Cricetulus griseus: one gene and its partner. Each later gene encodes a partner of the first gene's protein in a complex. Links are inferred from orthologs where the notes say so. Each region holds a gene or a part of one and is shown on either strand. Other genes may lie near its edges.

Evidence for each region.
Region 2: Ralgapa1 (region 1) and Ralgapb share a complex: the UniProt entries of both Homo sapiens proteins name them as parts of the heterodimeric RalGAP1 complex. The link is inferred for Cricetulus griseus from reciprocal best matches to the Homo sapiens genes RALGAPA1 and RALGAPB.

The regions. Positions count from the first base shown.
Region 1 is NC_048598.1:146,589,711-146,594,073, reverse strand, and holds the start of Ralgapa1 (ral GTPase-activating protein subunit alpha-1), read right to left. Parts: upstream 3,038-4,363; 5' UTR 3,008-3,037; coding exon 2,902-3,007; intron 1-2,901. UniProt on the Homo sapiens protein: Catalytic subunit of the heterodimeric RalGAP1 complex which acts as a GTPase activator for the Ras-like small GTPases RALA and RALB.
Region 2 is NC_048599.1:21,060,698-21,064,516, reverse strand, and holds part of Ralgapb (ral GTPase-activating protein subunit beta), read left to right. Parts: intron 1-350; coding exon 351-499; intron 500-605; coding exon 606-822; intron 823-3,819. UniProt on the Homo sapiens protein: Non-catalytic subunit of the heterodimeric RalGAP1 and RalGAP2 complexes which act as GTPase activators for the Ras-like small GTPases RALA and RALB.

The DNA of each region.
Region 1 (4,363 bases):
ACAACTATCTGTAACTCTACTTCCTGAGAATCCAACACCCTCTTCTGGCTTTCTTGGGCACCAAGCACACATGTATTGTGCAGGCATACATGAAGGCAGAACATCTATACACATAAAAAATAAAATATATTTTTAATGAAAAGCGCTGTAGAAGACATCTTCAAAGACTTCCAAATGTTGAGTACTCTTCCACACCGCTGCCCTGTGAGTAGGGATCTGTACAGAAGACCACACTAAAGTAGCTATAGAATAGTGGTGCCAACAGGAGACAGGTCATGCCTGAAAACACTTTTTCTAAGTGTGGGGGGGTGGAGGTTGCTATTTTATTTTCTGGATGTACAGAACTTCCCTATAAGTATCCCCAGTGAATAGCACTTTTTTTTGGTTCAATATGGTTCTGTGTAATTAGCCAACTAAATAGTTTATTCATTGTATTTACTTAAAGCCTTACTTATTTCCAAAAAGGCTTTAAAATGGCTCTTCCAGCTACAAAATAGGATACCAATTGGCAAGTCTCTAAGTGTCCAACTTTGTTTACTTCTCTCTCTCATTTTCTCAGAAATCATATTAATCTTATTTTAAGTAACCATAAATATATAAAAATATAGACTATTTTACTAAATTTAAATATTGAAGCTGAAATGTTGCTCAGTAACAAAGTGCCTGCTAGCACACTTGGGCCCCAAGTTCAATTCCTAGCCATGAGGCAGAGGGAGAGAACTTAAAACCAAGCTTCGAATTTGGGAGTCCATCTTACAGTATGCATTATGACAAGGTCTCAGATCCTGGTATTCTGACTCTTCAAACTTGAATATCCTTTTTGAGAGATTTTTCCATTCATTTAGCAGTGTCTAGCATACTAGACATAATCTAGTAGCAACTCCTCACAGAAGTGTTTCCAGATATGGTCACCTATCTGGTACTGATAAAATCTGTCCAATTAAGTACCATGGTTCTACAGCTACTTTAGTGTAGTCTTCTACTCTAAAGGCACAGGTCTGTAAGAATGTTCAACATCTGAGAGTCCTGAAAGATGTCTTCTGAAGTGATTTTTATTTTTTAAAAAAGAGTATCCTTAATAAAGGGGGAAAATGGTGGGTTTTTTTTTTCTTTTTAAGTGTTTTATTTTCAAATTGAAGAAGCTAGTTCTACAAACTATCCAACATGACTATAATTCATCTCTCATGTTTCCCAAGTTAGTAAACACACACACACACACACACACACACACACACACACACACACACACAGTGTGACACACACAAAAAAACCACAAAAACCACATGCCAAAGAAATATAAAGAAACCAATCCTTAATCAACTGTGGCGGTTAATTTAAGAAATCGCAATACCCTGGTGTAATTCAGCTTTTTAGTTCTGCATTTATGCAGTCCACAGCTTGTCTCAAGTGAGTGTCAAGTTCCACTAAGTGTCCAGTTTCACACTGCCATTATTTTGTAATACATCTACATTCACGATGACTTTGTATGTCTCAGTCATATCTTTTCAGACAAATCTTGCTTCAATGACAACTCCAGAATGAAAATGTTAAAAACTTCTACCATATCTAAATGGTTTACATAAACTGGGTTTAATTCCCTTCTCATTATACCACAGGAATAAGTACTTGTGATAAGGATTAGCTGTCATACATGTAGGAAAGATGAAAAACAAATTAAGAGACACAAAATCTGGGCTTCATTTGTGATTTAGTCTCCCATCAGTTTAGTAGAAACATGGCTTAATCTTTCTTGTTGGTACAAAAAAATGTCAATAATATCTCTATTTGTAGACAGATTGCAAAGATCGATTACAATAATTCATGTGAAACCCTTTGTAGATGGCAAAGCACCACACAAATGTTGGGTGTTATTAGTGGTGTTAGTTACAACACATTAAGGAAATATATCTCTGACACAGACACACCAATAAACATGCAAGTCACTTCCCAAAACAGTCATTAGGAAGAAAGCTTGAGATGATAAACTTTGAATTCGAATCCAGGCATGTGGGCTCTAACCTCAGTTATGCTATTATTCTATACACGAACCCTGGCCAATTTCCCTTTTCATCCCCAATTTCTTCATCAAAACAAAAAGAAGTACAGAACCAAAAGTTCCATAAGTACATAGCTCTCAGTCCTTCACAATATCTACGACCAAGTATCCAAAAACCCTCATTTAACATTATATCCCAAACTCAGCTCGGTTCGGTCTTTGGAAAAAACTCAAGTTGAAGACGGCTGACAGCAAGAAAACTTTCATGAAAATTGAATTCGGTACAGTTCTTGCTCTCTATAATTAGTTTTCCTTCTAAAGGACAGCAAATGAAGAACAGGGTGTATTGAGAGTAGGGCGGGGTCCTCTCCCACAAGCTTCAGGAGCCACCCACTTCCCAAAGAGGTGTAACTGCTTCCTCCAGGCCCTCCCTCACCTGCCAAAAAAACTTGAAGGACTACGGGTTATACTGCCCAAGCGAGCATTTTGCTTTTCTTTCCACTTGGGTGGGGATGACAGTAGTCATCTGGCAACACACATCCTCTAAACACCATTACCCACAACACCAAGTGTCCCTGAAGTCTCATCAAGGACTTAAGTTTCTAAGCTGACGCTCGTTTTTGTTTTTGTTTTTAAAAAGAATTCAGACCACGAACTCAGACGTGGGGTCTCTCCGTGTTGGCGCTGATTGGTTTGTGCCAACTGCCAAGCTGCCCCTACCCTCGCCGCCCGCCCGCCCGCTCCCTCGCCCGCCCGCTCGCCCTCCCGCGCGTGGGCACAGGCGCCGCCGGCCCTCACTCCGGACCGCGCCAAGTCGCGAGGGCGAACCCCGGAGCTCGCGGGGATGACGGGCCGGGCGGGCAGCGAGGCCGAGGCGTCGCCCCCGGGGTCGCTACCCTCCTCACCGATGACGATGCGCAGGTGCTTGAGGCGGGTCAGCGCGTCCTTCTTGGTGTCCAGCACCTTCTGGGTGGACTTCTTCACGTCCCCGTGCGGCTTCTTAGAGAACATCCTGCGGCCGCCGCGGCCCCTCCCGGCCGGGTCCCGACGGCCCAGCGCAGGCGGTGGGCGGGGAAGAGGCTAGCGCCGGCGGCTCATGCGCTCCTCCGCCGCGCGGGCCCCGCTGCCAGGCCGCCTCGCGCCGCCGCCGCCGCCGCCGCTGCACGGAACCCGCGCCCGGCTCCAATATGGCGGATCCGCCCCGCGCGCTGCAGCGATGAGGAGACGCGGAGCGGCCGCCGCCGCCGCCCAGGCCGCGGCTCGGGCCCCACAGCCGCAGAGATGGAGCACTCGGCCGCGGCGCCACTCCTCTCTCCCTGAGGCCCCCTTAAGGCTGAAGCTTCTCTAGCAGCTTCAACCGCGCAGAGGCCAGAACCGAGTCTTGTGGGGATGGACTTTCACGACTCTGCCGTCGGTGGCGAACGGTCCCCGTGGCAACCGCCTTCTGACGTCAAGTGCTCGTGACGTCATGCTAGCGTGAGCTCATGCCTGCCGCCGCTGTAGCCTCTTGGTTTCCCGTTTTAGCACAAATGGAGAAGGGCAAGAAAGTTAAGGAGGGTGCTCGTTGTAAACGGCAGTTCCTAGATTGTTTTGTTTTGTTTTGTTTAAGGTCTTCGGTCTCCACTCTTTAGATCGCTCCTAGTAACTTAGGATGTGCAAGGTCAGCGCGATGCCAGCTCTGAAGCCTTGGCTGTGACGTCATTTCACTTTCTAACTTGGGTTCTTCCTGCGTTTTGCAAACTAGTCACTTTCTAATTTTGATTCTCCCTGTGTTTTGCAAAAAATAATGATTGAAAATGTACTGTGCTTTAGAGATGCGTGGGTGCATGGTACATCCTTTTCCTTTCAACTACCGTGCACATGGATGGCTAGGGGTACAGCTGGATGGTGATCTCCAGTGCAAAAAATAGACATAAATCGATAACGTATCTTGTACAAGTAAATGAATCCCACCATGTATCAGAGAGAAAAATTAAGGAATCTGGTTGACTGTAAAGGAAGGCTGTCTTAGCATACAAAGTACTCACATGAATCCAAAGAAAAATGTGTACAGTCCAAGTAGAAAAATTAGCTGTGTGTTAGTGCTCTCCTGTCGCCCCAGTATTTCCGGGGTAAAACAAAATTCATGGCCAGGCTCAGCTACATTAGACCATGTCTCCAAACCAAACCAAAACAGAAAATAGAGAAAATAAAAATATGAATAATAATCACAGGATTATATACCTCTTGCTTCCTTGTCAGTGTCTGTTATGGAATAATCTTTCTGTACGATGTGAAGATGCCTCTTTGACAAGGCGCCTTCTGATTGGTTTAATAAATGAGTTGACTCCACCTACAAGTGTCTCATTACTCTTGCAGAGGGTACCT
Region 2 (3,819 bases), on another chromosome or scaffold:
TTTTGTGTATGTTTCTTAGATGTTTGAGAGCTGTGTGTAGATATTCTACAGCGTAATGCTGGAAGCTCTTAGGAAAGCCCAGAGAAAGAGGAATAAACTTCATGATAAATAACAATCTAGGGAAAATTATTTTCAGCAAATTGTGATAGATAGAATGCTACTGCCTTTATGTAAATAAACAAAAATACCATAAAAAAGACAGTAACCTAGTAGATAAAAACACAAATGATTCGCAAAACATTGTAAATTGTAAAACTCATTGTACGAGTTACCCTCAAAAATAGTTTAAAATGCTCTGGTGACTGTTTTCATAGATATCTTTTTTTTCTTTTTTTTTTTTTTTTTTGTAGGTATTTCTCGACCAAGATCAGACAGTGCTCCCCCAACACCCGTGAACAGATTAAGTATGCCTCAGAGCACTGCTGTGAATACCACACCACCACATAACCGGAGGCACAGGGCTGTTACTGTGAATAAGGCCACCATGAAGACAAGTGCAGTAAGATCATTCAGCATCATTTAGCTTTATGAAGGTTAACTTTTATAAGTCCCAAACTCTTCCAACTTTTCATGGCTGTGGACACTTACTTGTGTTCTTCTGCTAGGTTACTACTGTTCACACTTCGAAAGTCCAGCACCAGGCATCCTCTACTTCTCCTCTGTCAAGTCCAAATCAGACTAGTTCAGAGCCCAGGCCACTGCCTGCCCCTCGGAGACCAAAGGTTAACAGCATCTTGAATCTCTTTGGATCATGGTTATTCGATGCAGCATTTGTTCACTGCAAACTCCATAACGGAATAAACAGAGACAGCAGCATGACTGGTAAATATGCCCAGAAACATGTAGTCATTATTCCCTTTCTGTTTCTTTCTCTTTAGTCTTTCCTACCTGCAAGATTAATACAGCTCTTGAAAGCACCCTGTTTCTCACCAAGCAATATGTTGTGCTTAACCCCTTCCAGCTGAACCAATAGAAACTTGTGAAGTATTCCTATCTGTCCTTTTTATGTATACTTTATGAAGTTTGGTCCTTTGCCTGGTTTTATTAGGGACTCTTCAGGTTAGCCACTTTGTGTTGAATCAAATTCCATTTTTGTAGGTGACCTGGAAATTCCCTTCATGTCAGCCAGGATAATAATAGATTTATGAACAATTAAAGGTTTTGAGTAAAAGTTTATTCATTGAAATGTTTTCTTAGATTTTTCACAACCATTTAATCATCATTACATGTAAATATCAGGAATTTTCTGTTTTCTTAATAAACCAATCCCAGTATCTTCATTGGATTTACTATAGAATGAAATCGTCTAAATGAAATTGGATTTATTTTGTCAACTTACTACTATGCTTAGAGCTAGTGCCAGATGGATGGGTAAGTCAGGGCAGAATGTTTGGAATGGTTATCATCTGTCTTGCACAGCTGAATAATAATAATGGCTGGTATTTATTGAGTTGCTGTTAGTGTGTGCCGGGTCCCATGTTTATGCATTAATTAGTATATTAGTTGTTTTCTAAATAAATACTTTTCTACAGGAGTTGGAGACAGATTGAGGTAAAAAGATTTCTGATAGTATTACTTTCTGACAGTTTTATTCTCCAGAGGACACTGTTGAATTCAAGGATAAAATTAAGTGTTCATAAGGGTCTCTGCTTTTTCTCAGAAACTCATTCACAGCTAGGTTTATGTCTGTGAATATTTTGTAAGTGTAATTATTTTGGATGTTCTTAGAAACTTTTAAATAATTTAGAAAAGTTTTAAGTATGAAGTTGTTATGGAATATGAGGCTGCATGAGTGAGTTTGAGATTCTTTTGCTTGCTTTATTTTGTTCAAATTCAGGCGCTTTATATTTTTCCATTTTTACATTATGGTTTTATTCATGAGCTCCATTAAATTAAAAGTTTTAAAAACCATTCATGGGTATATTTTCATTATCTTATGTGCTATATGTTTTGAATTTTCTGAACCATGTTTATTAATTTATATAGTATTGTCCAGAGTGAGTTAGCCTTTAATTTTTTGATAAGGTGTGTTTCTTACAATGTAACCTAACTGTTGAGTAGGGAGCTGTTGGCTTTGCAAAAAATCTCTGAGTCTAGAATGGCTTAATCTGCTGCTTTCTGGTAGGCTTGTATAATGAGTATCTAGAGCTTTCTATCTCTGGGGAGTTTGTAACAGCTTTGTTATTTCACTGTACTAGAAGAATTCAAATGACAAGTGAGCAACATCTCACTTTCCCGTCTTAAAGGAGAGACATTCCTTCTGTCTGTGTTCAGAGATGCTAAAGGCTGTTACATTACCCAGGAGATTTGAGGTGTCCAAATAGTTAAAGTAGATTTAGAGTGCTCTTGGGTGCCAGTCTGGAAGCCTTGGATGGGAGGTGGGGGGATTGGGGTATCGTGTGTTTTCTAAGTACTGGCTGCCATCAAGGAATTCTGCCATGCAGTTCACCTTTAACTCAAGTATTTGCTTCTTTGAACTTGTTAGCTTTCAATTTACCTGATGCACTGTGCTTTGTAAAAGTAACATTGAGCTGGGAAGGGTTAATGAACTAAAAATTTTGATGCACGATATGGGCAGTTCAAAACCTCAATTCTTTGTAGCTATGTAATTTTCTTTGTTCATTGTTTTGCATGATACAAAAATCATAATTTTGGACCTGAATGCACAATTTCCTATGTTTTTGAACTAGCTTGTGGTATCATAAACTTTAAATCTAACTTTTAAAAAGCTAAAAAGCTTCTTAATTTATTGTAAAATTTCACCATCTTTAAAGTATTTTATAATTACTGCTGTCCTTTGATTTGTTTCCATTTATTTCTATTATCTTGCAGCATCTTTTATCCAAATTCTTCTTTCTTATAAATCTTGTAAGTAGGAACCAGAAGCTTCTCCTTAATTGCAGTCATGTTTTTATTTTTTCCATAATTCCATTAAAATTTTTGATTGTCATTGTCTATTGTAGTTTTTGCACTTGGGAAGGAAAATATTTTTTCTGTGTTTTGAATGGGGAAGATTGTTGGCAAAAGCAAATTAATCTGCCTGAATCAATCCCATTATTTCTGTATACTAGTCTGGTCATGTCATGAATTCCAGGACTTTGCACTAACTGTGTTTTGGCTTTTTTCTTTTCTTTCTTTCTTTCTTTCTTTTTTTTTTTTAAGCTTTAAGCTTATTTTTATACAGATTTAGTGTTTGATTTGTATGCATTCTGCATGTAGTGTTTTCCAAATGTATTATTGCTGGATAGCTTATTCAGGACTAAAATGGCTCATGGGAAGTTGCATAAAGATTTATGCTTGACTCTGCATTTATTAAGCCTCCTATCATTACAAAACAATTTAAACATTTTATGTAGAGTAATAAAAGATTTCAGAGTGATCTGTGTGCTGTGAAATCTTTTGTTAAAAGCAACTTTCGAAGGGCTTCTGTTTTGGTGACAATGAATGACCATGATAATCCTCCTTATCAACCCAGTTTTCTGATTTATCAACCTCAAGTTTGCTGCTGTCTGTGGTTGTTAAAATTCATTCTCATTTGCTTGGTTCGGCAGCTCTTTGGTGTGTGTTTTGGAGCTGGGTGGGTGGTGGGAATGCCCTCTCTTCCTCCCTTACTTAGTTCTCATCCTTACCCTGCCATATTCAAACTAAGAATTGCCCTCTTAATTACTTTGTCCATTTTAGTTAATTGTATAAATTGTAATTGCTACTCTTCTTAATGGTTAAGTATCATTCTATAGAAGGAGGAAAAAAACCAAAATAATAGAAAAGGCAAATTCTGTATATATCTGTATGCAGATGTATACAAATGTAGTCTTCTGA